Oryctolagus cuniculus: one gene and its partners. The protein of the gene in region 2 purifies or fractionates together with the protein of the main gene of each other region. This does not show direct contact. Links are inferred from orthologs where the notes say so. Each region holds a gene or a part of one and is shown on either strand. Other genes may lie near its edges.

Region 1 (4,391 bases), on a different chromosome or scaffold from region 2:
GAGAGCTGGCCTGGAAGAGGGGCAACCGGGACAGAATCCAGCACCCCGACCGGGACTAGAACCAAGTGTGCCGGCGCTGCAGGCGGAGGATTAGCCTATTGAGCCGCGGTGCCGGCCCAAGGGTATCACAATTCTTAAAATTACACAACTATCCCTTCTCTGATGGTATTTGGTTTCTCCATGAGGTGGGTGTTTTTAAAATATTGCTTTATCATCTGGCCCTGCAATTCTACTTCTAAGAATTTAAACCTATTTTCAGGAAACAATCTTTTACATACAGATGTTCATCGCAGGTTTAAGGGGAAGAGAAAAAAGGAAGTCATCTACATATCCAAAATAGGACTAAAGAAAAATTTAAAAGAGGTAAATCAAGTCCATACAGAATTCAGGTCCTAAATTACCACATTTCACCAAATCCTAATTTATATGCAGAAGTGGACAGAGAACTGTTCAGGAAAAATCCGTCCTGTGCCAGAGTCTTCCTGGGCCACCTCTATTTGAAGAACAGAATGACCATGTTCCAATATTAGGATCTTAAAGCCACTCATAGAAGGCAGAATATCATCTCTCAAGAGATCTACGTTCTAATTCCTAAAACCTGTGAATGTTCCCATAAGTGAAGAAACATAACTTGCAATTAAGATGATCTTTAGGGGCCGGCACTGTGGTGTAGTTGGTAAAGCCGCCGCCTGCAGAGCTGGCATCCCATATGGGTGCTGGTTCAAGACCTGGCTGCTCCACCCGTGTGCGAGACCTGGAGGAATATCCTGGCTCTTGGCTTTGGATTGGTACAGCTCCTGCCATTGCAGCCATTTGGGGAGTGAACCAGTGGATGGAAGACCTCTCTCTGTGTAACTCTTTCAAATAAATAAATAAATCTTTTAAAAAAATATGATCTTTAGATGGGGATTATCTGGGTGGGCCCATTGTAATCACAGGCTTCACTTCTTCTTCTCCTGGCTTCAGATCAGCGCGGTGCACAGGCCACAGCGGCCACTGGAAGGTGAACCAACGGCAAAGGAAGACCTTTCTCTCTGTCTCTCTCTCTCACTGTCCACTCTGCCTGTCAAAAAAAAAAAAAAAAAAAAAAAAACAAAAAAAAAACAGGAAAACTGTATTCCAAGCCTTGGTAGAGAACTTGGCTTCAGCTTGAGGCCTAGATCTTTCTTGAAATCAAGACAGGGAGGCCGGCGCTGCGGCTCAATAGGCTAATCCTCCACCTAGCAGTGCCGGCACACGGGGTTCTAGTCCCGGTTGCCCCTCTTCCAGGCCAGCTCTCTGCTATGGCCAGGGAGTGCAGTGGAGGATGGCCCAAGTGCTTGGGCCCTGCACCCCATGGGAGACCAGGAGAAGCACCTGGCTCCTGCCTTCGGATCAGCGCAGTGCGCCGGCCGCAGCGCGCCAGCCGTGGCGGCCATGGGGGGGGGTGAACCAATGCCAAAAGGAAGACCTTTCTCTCTGTCTCTCTCTCTCACTGTCAAAAAATAAATAAATAAAATAAAATAAAAAAAGAAATCAAGACAGGGGGCTGTCACTGTGGCATAATGGGTAAAGCCTCCGCCTGCAGTGCTGGCATCCCATATGGACGCCGGTTCGTGTCCTGGCTGCTCCACTTGGGATCCAGCTCTCTGCTATGGCCTGGGAAAGCAGAAGAAGATGGCCAAGTCCTTGGGCCCCTGCAACTGCATGGGAGACCCGGAGGAAGCTCCTGGCTCCGGATTGGTGCAGCTCTGGCCGTTGTGGCCAATTGGGGAGTGAACCAGCGGATGGAAGACCTCTCTCTGCCTCTCCTCTCTGTAATTCTTTCAAATAAATAAGTAAATCTTAAAAAAAAAAATCAAGACAGAACGAAGTACCAGTCCTGTGTACTGCAGTCCCCCACATATCCTTAAATCAGGTGCGTTGGATTAAAGGGACTATAAACACTCTCTTGGACCACACCTCCTCTCAAGACTGTTCTCTAAGCTTTGTATTTCGCTTTTTATCCAGCTACAGTGCAATATTTGAAAACGCAGTCCCAGTGCATCGCCACAGACAGCGCTCCAGGTCCCCGCAGACCGCTCGCAGGGGCTGCTCCGATCGCCCCCTCACAGCAGATCCCAGGCCCGGCTAACAGCCCTGCCCCTCGCCGCCAGCGGCTGTGTGAAGCACGAGACCTCTGGCGGAAGCCGAGGCTGTCGCCAGGGTTCTCACCACCGTGCAGCCCCGCGCCGTCCGCGAGCTGCAAGGCCCACGAGCGCGTCGGGGAGACAAGCCCCAGTTCCAGCGCCCAGCGCCGTCCGCCTCTCCGGCCGTGCCGAGGCCCCGACGCGCAGGGCACAGCAGCCCGGGTCGCCCCGGCCCCGCGGCCCCCAGCCCGACCCTCCCCGAACGCAGCCGCGGCTAGCGGAGGCGGGCACAGGGTGAAGGTCAGCGCGGAGGTCAGCGCCTGAAAGGGTCGCCCCGGCGGCGGCGGACCCGGGCCGCGCAGGAAAGCGCTCCTCGGCCCGCACCGGGGGCGGGGGGCGCCCGCAGCCCTCCACGCCGGGACCGCCGGCCCCGACCCGCGCGGACACCGCCCGGCAGCCCGTGGAAGGGGCCGGCGTCTGCCAGAGGGCTCAGGCCGGAAGACACCGGCTACCTCCAGCATGACCCCCGGAGGACCGGGTCCGCCCTCACCGACTGGCCTCGCCGTCCGCCTTGGGCTCCGCGCGCCGCCGCCCGGTGTTCGTCAGCACCATCGCTCCGGCTCAGGACCGTCTCAGTTTCCCGGGAGAAATTTGGCGCGCTCCCACCTACTCTCGCGAGATTCCGGAAGCGCCCCGCCGTCCAATCAGCAGGCGCGGGCGCCCGCGGGGCTCCAATGGGTGGTGCCGCGTGGGGGGCGGTGGAAGGGGGCGGTCCCCGAGGGCCCGGGAGAAGGTGTGCGGAGGCGCGCGCCGCGCAGCGCGGGGTCCGTCCGGGGCGGCGCTGTGGGCAGTGTCGGGCCGCCCCGCCCCGGGCTGACCCGAGGCGCGGGCGGCTGCCCGGGGCGGCGCAGAGCATGGTGGCGATGGCGCCGGCGGCGTCGAGGCTGCGGGCCGAGGCGCTCCCGCGGCGGGCACTCGCCAGCTACCTGCTCCTCCTGCGGCTGTACCCGGTGCTCACCAAAGCGGCCACCAGGTGGGCGCGTCGCCGCGCAGAGGGAGGACCAAGTCGCGGCCCGCAGCGTTGTGGGTCGGGTCCCGGGCAGACGGAGGGCTGTCGGGCTGTGTCGCTGGAGGCCGTCCCCGCCTGCCGTCGGCCGGCCCGTGCCGGCTGCGTGTGGTGCCTCCCGCAGCCGGTGTCGTGGCGAGGGACTCGACGGAGGGCCTGGCGGAGAGAGGGCGGCTGGGCGGGCTCCTCTGCGGGGGGCGACAGTGAACAGGCCGTGCGTGGAAGGGACGCAGTCGCTGTCCGCGTAGAGGGAGCTGCGGGTGCCAAGTCCGAGGGAGGAGCGAGCCGTGCGCGGAGGACCTGGGGCGGGGAGCGGGGGTCAGATCTGGAAGGCCCTGTGTGCGTTTTGTGTCTCAGAGCCTCTCGGAAGGCAACAGACCAAGGCCTGGAGGGAGCCACTGGGCCTCTCGCCGCTTCTGATGGAAATTCTTAGGGCCATAATTGTAGATTCGGGTTCAGTTGTAAGAAATTATGCAAGAGAGAGCCTTGTACCCTTTTCCCAGTTTCTCCCGTCGGTTGCATTCTGTAAAATTTAGCGCAGCGTCACAGCTCGCACGGCTAGTCCACAGGTCATATTTGGGTTTCCTCACTTCTCCTGTACCCTTGTGAAGGTGTTTACTTCCGTGCAGTTTTATCTCCCGTGGTTCTGTATCTGTCACCACAGGCAAAACAGAAGAATGTCCACATCAGGGTCCCTCCTGATCCCTTTCTGTTACCACATGCCTTTCTGACTCCTGGGATGGCAAACTTTTTAGAAAATTGGGGTATCTCGCATAACCAGAATGTTGACATACAGTCCACCAGCTGGTTGCCCTCACCTGTGTGTGTGTGAGAGAGAGAATCTTTGTCCCTGCCTTTTGATGTAGGCACTTGCCATTGCAGCGGCTTCAGTCCAGAGCGTGACCTCAGAGCACGTGTGGGAAAGGACCAGCTGTCCATGTCTCCTGATTGTGTCCTTGTCCACAGTGCTATTCTGTCAGCATTTTCGAACTTCTTGGCTCAGATGATTGAGAAGAAGCGAAAAAAAGACAACTCTCAAAATCTAGATGTCACTGGGCCTCTCAGATATGCAATTTATGGGTGAGTGCCATAAAAGAGGCAGGTTTACTCTGTAACAGACTAAGTACACCGAATGTTTGGGATAATCTAATTTGGAAAAATAATTTTAAAAACAGCATTGAATCATCATGGGGGGAGGGTCAGAACAGCTTGTATGG
Region 2 (2,161 bases):
TAGACAGTGAGAGAGACAGACAGAAAGGTCTTCCTTCCACTGGTTCACCCCCAAATGGCCGCTAAGGCCGGCGTGCTGCACCGATTCAAAGCCAGGAGCCAGGTGCTTCCTCCTGGTCTCCCAAGCACTTGGGCCATCCTCCACTACCTTCCCGGGCCACAGCGGAGAGCTGGACTGGAAGAAGAGCAACCAGGACAGAATCCAGTGCACCGACCAGGACTAGAACCCGGTGTGCCAGCACCACAGGTGGAGGATTAGCCTAGTGAGTCACGGTGCTGGCGTCAGGAGCTTCTTGTAGGTCTTCCCCACGGGTGCAGGGGCCCAAGGACTTGGACCATCTTCCACTGCTTTCCCAGGCCATAGCCGAGAGCTGGATCGGAAGCAGAGCAGCCGGGTCTCGAACCGGCGCCCATATGGGATGTCAGCACTGCAAGTGGTGGCTTTACCTGCTCTGCCACAGTGCCAGCCACTACCACGGAATTTTTTAAATTGTGACTGTTCTTATAAAATAAGACTTTGGACTCAAATGTATTATTTTTGTAAAGTTTACAGTTTTGGAAAGGTCTGAGACACACTCTCCCTTCTACATATATATGAGGGAACTTCAAAAAGTTCATGGAAAATGGAATTAAAAGATGTTTATTTTGGTGCAAAAATTTTTTTGAAACCCATGATCTTTTCACAATATACAATCTCTGGGAACTTTCTGACATACCCTTGTATACACACACACACACAAACAGTACACTCCCCACCCACCCAAATTTAACACTGTCCCAAAGCAAGCAAACTCTGAGTTAACAAAAATGGACTGGCATTCTGTAGCTCTTTACTGAGGGCCTCGTGTCAAAGGAGGGGAAAAGCCAGCCACCCTGTGGCTCCATGCCTCTTTTTGAGTCTGCAGAGAAGCCAGCCAAGTTGAATCAAGGTCAAGGATGCTCCTCCAGGCCCTCCTGGGACTGGCAAAGTCTCAGCACACTTTCTCAGGAACTGTGATGCCGAAGTCAAGGCAGCTCAGAGGCCTTCAGGCTGCTGGTACTTCCAGAAGGCCACCTCCCCATCATCACTGCAGGAAGCCAGGAGCCCCCGCTCCTTGGGGTTCCAGGCCACGCAGTTGACATCCTGGGAATGGGCCTGGCGCAAATGGGCCGTCAGGGAGAAGGTGGGCTGCTGCGGGTCCGAGCTGGGATCCTCCTCAAACACTCGGATGGCATCGTCCCCACAAGCTGTAGCCAGGGCCCCGGTCAGCTGACACCTGGGAGAAATGTGCCATCAGGAGGTGTGCAGACTGCTCTTCCCTCCCCAGTCTGGCAAACTGGGCGAGAGAGAGATCTGTTCTACAGTCCCTGCCTGTTCTCTTCCCAGCTGCAGGCCTCAGCTCAGTCTTACCGGGGAGTGTCCCAAAGACAGAGCCACGAGCAGCACCTCCCTCGGTCTGCAGATGCCTCCATACGCCTTCCAGTTATAACTAACCTAAAAACCCCAAGCAGCTCTGAAGAGCACACTTCTCATTGAGCATAAGTGGTTTCCCATGCTTTGAAGTCTTTTTTAACTGATAGAACAGGCTACTGAGTTTTACCATTATTTGCTTAAGTCCACTTTTTTTGCAACATACTCGTATGCGTTACTCCAAACTGTTTGCTAATACTAATTATGCTTGGACGCCTATGAACTTTTTCCTTTGTTTAGCATTAATTCTTAGGCCTCCCTCTCAGGGCCAGAACTGTCTTCTGCCTAACTCTCCCTCTGTGTTTCCAAACCGTAACAACCCCAACCACCGATCCACAGATTCAGTCCTGCTCTCTGGACGGACTGGCACTGCGTGAATCCCGGGGCTGGTGCTGCCCTCAGAGCCTGCGCTCCTAACCAGGGCTCCTGGGTCTAAGGCTGAGTCCTGCCCCTGGGACTCGCAGGCCGGCCGGCTCTAGCATGGTGGACAGGGGGCCTCATCTACAGAAACAGGGCGGCTCTTCTCTTGTGCCCCGCTGGTAGCAGGACAGAGGGTCACGATGTCTCTCAAATCCCTGCTTTACCAGGAGTGGGGTGGGGATGGAGGTCTTACCAGGCAATGTCGTAAATGGCCCTGGAGTGGAAGCCAGACAAAGTGCAGACACACTTCCAGCTGGGGGCAGAGCCGCTGCACACCAGCCCTGCAAGACAG
Region 3 (4,442 bases), on a different chromosome or scaffold from region 2:
GAGTCCCCGGGTTCGAATCCCAGTTCCAGCTGCTGCACCCACATGGGAGACTGGGGTGGAGCTGGGGCTCCTGGCGTGGGCCTGGCCCCATCCGGCCACCGTAAGGGTCTGGGGTGGACCAGCGATGGGACTTCTCCCTCCCTCTCTTAAATAAATAAATATTGAAGGCCGGCACCGCGGCTCACTAGGCTAATCCTCCGCCTTGCGGCGCCGGCACACCAGGTTCTAGTCCCGGTCGGGGCGCCGGATTCTGTCCCGGTTGCCCCTCTTCCAGGCCAGCTCTCTGCTGTGGCCAGGGAGTGCAGTGGAGGATGGCCCAAGTGCTTGGGCCCTGCACCCCATGGGAGACCAGGAGAAGCACCTGGCTCCTGCCATCGGATCAGCGCGGTGCGCCGGCAGCAGCGCGCCGGCCGCGGCGGCCATTGGAGGGTGAACCAACGGCAAAGGAAGACCTTTCTCTCTGTCTCTCTCTCTGTCCACTCTGCCTGTCAAAAAATAAAAAAATAAATAAATTAATTAATTAAAAATAAATATTGAAAATAAATTTGCATATCAGAACTGTGAAATGGTGGTGAGGGACCTGTAACACCTGTGCCGTGCGGCCCCCAGCCCCTTCCTGTCCCCCACGGACGGGCGTGGCCCCTGGCGTGGCACGGGGCGTCCAGGCTCCCCGTGCCCTCTCCTGGCCTCTGCGGCCTGTGACCCACTTGCATTTGGGGAAGAACGAGGAAAACCACTGGGTATCAGCCCTGGGGTAACGCTGCCCCCCCACAGCCAGAGGACTGCACGGCCCAGTGGTCAGCCCGACAGAACCAGGGCCTGGAGCCGCAGGACAAGAGGGGCAAGGGGTGTGCCCTCCACCCTGGACGTTTCTGGAATGTCCAGTGAAGCCACGGGGGACACCTGCACCCCGGGAGTGACAGACGGACAGAGGGCTTCCATTCCCGGGCTCACTCCCCAGATGGCCGCAGCGGTGGGGGCCGGGCCAGTGCGAAGCCAGGAGCCCGAGCTCCGCCGGGGCTCCCGCCAGGGGCCAGGGTGCTGGGGCCCAGGCGCTTGCCTGGCGCTGCTTCGGCAGGTGCCTGAGCCGGGAGCCGCTGGGACTCAGCCCACGCGCGTCCGGGAGCCCGGGCCCAGCACAGCGCCGGCTCCCATAGCTCAGCAAAACGAAACGCAGACCCCGCACAGTGTGCATTTGGACAGGGCAGGATCCGCAAAGGCCTAAGTGGAGTCTGACCAGGCCAGCACTCCCCGCAGCTTATAAAATTCCAGGGAGCGGAGCGGCCCGAGCCCCCAAGGGGTCGCCCCATCCTAATTTCCTCACCGCCTGAATTTATATTTCAGTAGAAACTGAGCGCCCACCGCGGGCCGGCCGCGGGACGCTCTCGGGTGCCCCGGGGAGCTCCGGGCCGGGCAACCCTGGGCCCCACGCCTGGCAGGCAGGCGAGCACCGCACAGGGGGGACCACCCAAGCGGCGCGCGGACCCCAGCACCTGCACCGCCCCCTCCGCCGCCCGGCGCAGGCGCGGGAGGTGTGCTGTGCTCAGCTCGCCGGCAGAGGGCGCGCGTGCGCCGCGGGGCTGCTTTCCGGCAGCGTGGCGGAAACACCCTAGCTGTGCGGCGCCCTTTGACGACCGTTCGCGCGTCGCCTGGCGGCAGTGTGGCTATCATGGCGTCGCCCTTTAGCGGGGTCCTGCAACTCACGGATCTAGATGACTTCATCGGGCCGTCTCAGGTGGGCCCGGCGGGTGGGCGGCTGCGGCGCGGGCGGCGGGCGGCGGGCGGCGGGCGGCGGGCGGCGGGCGGGGCCGGCCCCTGAGAAACGAAGTCCGCGCGCCCCCGCCAGGGCCGGCTCCCTACGCGGTGGCCGAGGGCGGGGGGCCCGGCTTCCCCGCGCGCTCACGGCCGCGGCGTGGGGGCTCCTCCCGCTGCAGGACTGCGTCAAGCCCGTGAAGGTGGACGCGAGGCCGGGGCGCGGCGGGGCCAAGATCCAGGTCGGGGACGACGGCAGCTACTTCCAGGTCCAACAGGTGAGGTGGGCCCGGCGCCGGGGGTGCGCAGGGGGACCCTGGGCGGCGGCCACTCCTGCGCGGAGGCCTCTGCGCCCGCGGTCCCAGCCTGGCTCCCCTGGCCTGGCGCGGGCAGGCGGCGCACGGCGGGAGCTCACAGCGAGGGGAGGTCCCGCTGTCCCGCCCGGCCACTCGCTGCTCCGGAGCCTGGTGGCGGGGGCTGCGGGAGCAGCGCGGGGCCCGGCCGGGCTGGTCCCGGCGGCGTGCGAGCCCGGCGTGCTGCCCCGCAGGGCGGCGGCGCGCGGAGGCTGGAGCGAGCCAGGGTCTCGCTGGACGACTGCCTGGCCTGCAGCGGCTGCGTCACGTCGGCGGAGACCGTGCTCATCGCGCAGCAGAGCCACGAGGAGCTGCGGAAGGTTCTGGACGCCAACCAGGTAGCGGGTCCGGCGGGCGCCTCGGGGGGCCCCGGGCGGCGCGGCCCGGGTGACGCGCGCCCCCCGGCCTTGCAGGCGGCGGCGCCCGCGAGGCGCAGGCTGGTGGTGGTGTCGCTGTCGCCGCAGTCCACAGCGTCGCTGGCCGCCCGGCTCCAGCTGCCCGCCGCCGACACGGCCAAGAGGCTCGCCTCGTTCTTCCGGAGCATAGGTAGGTGGGCGCCGGGGGGGGGGCGTCCACGCGCGGATCCCGAGTGACCGCAGCTCCGAGCGAGCCTGGAGGACGCGCCGTGCCCGGCGTGCTTTCCTGCTTTGTGAGGTTTGTTACTTATTTAAAAGGCGGCGTTCCAGAGAGGGGGACACAGACAGGTCTTCCGCCCGCGGGTTCGCTGAGTTCAACTCGGGGTGGAGGGGCCGGGCGGCCGCCACGGCGGGAGGCCGGGACCCAGGCGCACGGCAGGCGCTGGCGATGCGCCTCGTGGCTGTGGAAGCGGCCCACGGTTCTAGGAGGCGGGTCCCGCCCAGGGGGCGTGGTTGGCCTGGGAGGCGGGGTCCCGCTCTGGGGTCTGGGCCCGTGGCTGGCCCTGGCCCAGGTGCCATGAGCAAGTGCAGCTCGGCTCTGGGAGGCGGGGTCCCGCTCTGGGGGCGTGGCTGGCCCTGGGGGCGGGGGTCCCGCTCTGGGGGCGTGGCCGGCCCTGGGGGCGGGTCCCGCTCTAGGGGCGTGGCTGGCCCTGGGGGCGGGTCCCGCTCTGGGGGCGTGGCTGGCCCTGGGGGCGGGGTCCTTATGGGGGGCATGGCTGGCCCTGTGGCCGGGTCCCGCTCTGGGGGCGTGGTCGCGCTCTGGGGGCGTGGCTGGCCCTGGGGGCGTGGCCGGCCCTGGGGGCGGGTCCCGCTCTGGGGGCGTGGCTGGCCCTGGGGGCGTACCCCCCCAGGTGCAGCTCACGGGGTCGCCCTGCAGGCGTGCACTACGTCTTCGACGCGGCCTTCTCCAGGAGCTTTAGCCTCCTGGAGAGCCAGCGCGAGTTTGTGGAGCGGTTCCGACGCCAGGCGCTGCCCGTGCTCACTTCCGCCTGCCCAGGTGCGTGCGTGGGGGGTCATCTGTGGTCACTTCTGTTGCCCTGAAGTCATCACGTGGATTCCGAGAGCCCCCGGGGGTGAGGGCAGGGCGGGGCTGAGCCCGGGGGTGAGGGCAGGGGGGTGGTCACTGAGCCCCCAGGGGAGAGGCAGGGCGGGCGACCCCCGGCCGCCCCTGGGAGCTGTGGCTGCGTGTCCCGCTGCCCAGGCTGGATCTGCTACGCCGAGAAGACGCACGGCAGCTTCCTGCTCCCCTACATCAGCACCGCCCGCTCGCCGCAGCAGGTCATGGGCTCCCTGGTCAAGGACTTCTTCGCCCAGCAGCAGGTACTGCGTCCACCGGCCCAGGCCGCGCAGGGAGCGGCTCAGGCTCGGTGAGGGGCGGGGGCCTGGCTCTGTGCGGCCGCCGAGGGCCTCTCTCTCGACGTGGCCAGAGGTCCCGCCCGGCTCGGGGAGGCGGTGTGGTCACCTGCCCGCCCCGGCGCCGGCCCCGCTCAGAGAATTCTCGGGGACCCTGCCCTGCGGGAGACACCGCCCACAGCGTGGGGGCGGGTGTGACCGCGTGTCCGCGTCCCACAGCACGTGACCCCCGACAAGATCTACCACGTCGCCGTGATGCCCTGCTACGACAAGAAGCTGGAGGCGTCCAGGCCCGACTTCTTCAACCAGGAGCACCAGACCCGCGAGGTGGACTGCGTGCTCACCACCGGTGCGCGCCCGGCCCCGCCCCTCCCCGGCCCCGCCCACCTGTGCAGCGCGGGTTGGGGGGATGGACTGTGTGCTCGCCACAGGTGCCCGCCCCCACGTCTCCCCGGACTCCGCCCCGCCCCTCCGCCCAGAGGCGCGCGGGTCCTGCCTCTCGGAGACCCCTGTTTGCCTGAAGCAGTCTTATCTCTAAGGTGTGCCGCTCATTTTTATTTATTTGCAA

What was found.
Region 1: the proteins of CIAO1 (region 2) and POLE purify together in Homo sapiens (affinity purification with western blotting; 3 studies listed by BioGRID, with this or other methods). This does not show direct contact. The link is inferred for Oryctolagus cuniculus from reciprocal best matches to the Homo sapiens genes CIAO1 and POLE.
Region 3: the proteins of CIAO1 (region 2) and CIAO3 purify together in Homo sapiens (affinity purification with western blotting; 3 studies listed by BioGRID and IntAct, with this or other methods). This does not show direct contact. The link is inferred for Oryctolagus cuniculus from reciprocal best matches to the Homo sapiens genes CIAO1 and CIAO3.

Annotation. Positions count from the first base shown.
Region 1 is NC_091452.1:874,014-878,404, reverse strand, and holds the start of POLE (DNA polymerase epsilon catalytic subunit A), read right to left. Parts: upstream 2,818-4,391; 5' UTR 2,721-2,817; coding exon 2,659-2,720; intron 1-2,658. Other genes in the region: PXMP2 (peroxisomal membrane protein 2), read left to right, coding at 3,023-3,141, 4,141-4,254. UniProt on the Homo sapiens protein: Catalytic component of the DNA polymerase epsilon complex. Participates in chromosomal DNA replication.
Region 2 is NC_091433.1:111,312,509-111,314,669, forward strand, and holds the end of CIAO1 (probable cytosolic iron-sulfur protein assembly protein CIAO1), read right to left. Parts: intron 2,151-2,161; coding exon 2,063-2,150; intron 1,256-2,062; coding exon 1,015-1,255; 3' UTR 624-1,014; downstream 1-623. UniProt on the Homo sapiens protein: Key component of the cytosolic iron-sulfur protein assembly (CIA) complex, a multiprotein complex that mediates the incorporation of iron-sulfur cluster into extramitochondrial Fe/S proteins.
Region 3 is NC_091450.1:33,991,094-33,995,535, forward strand, and holds the start of CIAO3 (cytosolic iron-sulfur assembly component 3), read left to right. Parts: upstream 1-1,604; 5' UTR 1,605-1,669; coding exon 1,670-1,735; exon of another isoform or gene 1,736-1,934; coding exon 1,935-2,030; intron 2,031-2,299; coding exon 2,300-2,443; intron 2,444-2,518; coding exon 2,519-2,651; intron 2,652-3,398; coding exon 3,399-3,518; intron 3,519-3,722; coding exon 3,723-3,841; intron 3,842-4,093; coding exon 4,094-4,223; intron 4,224-4,442.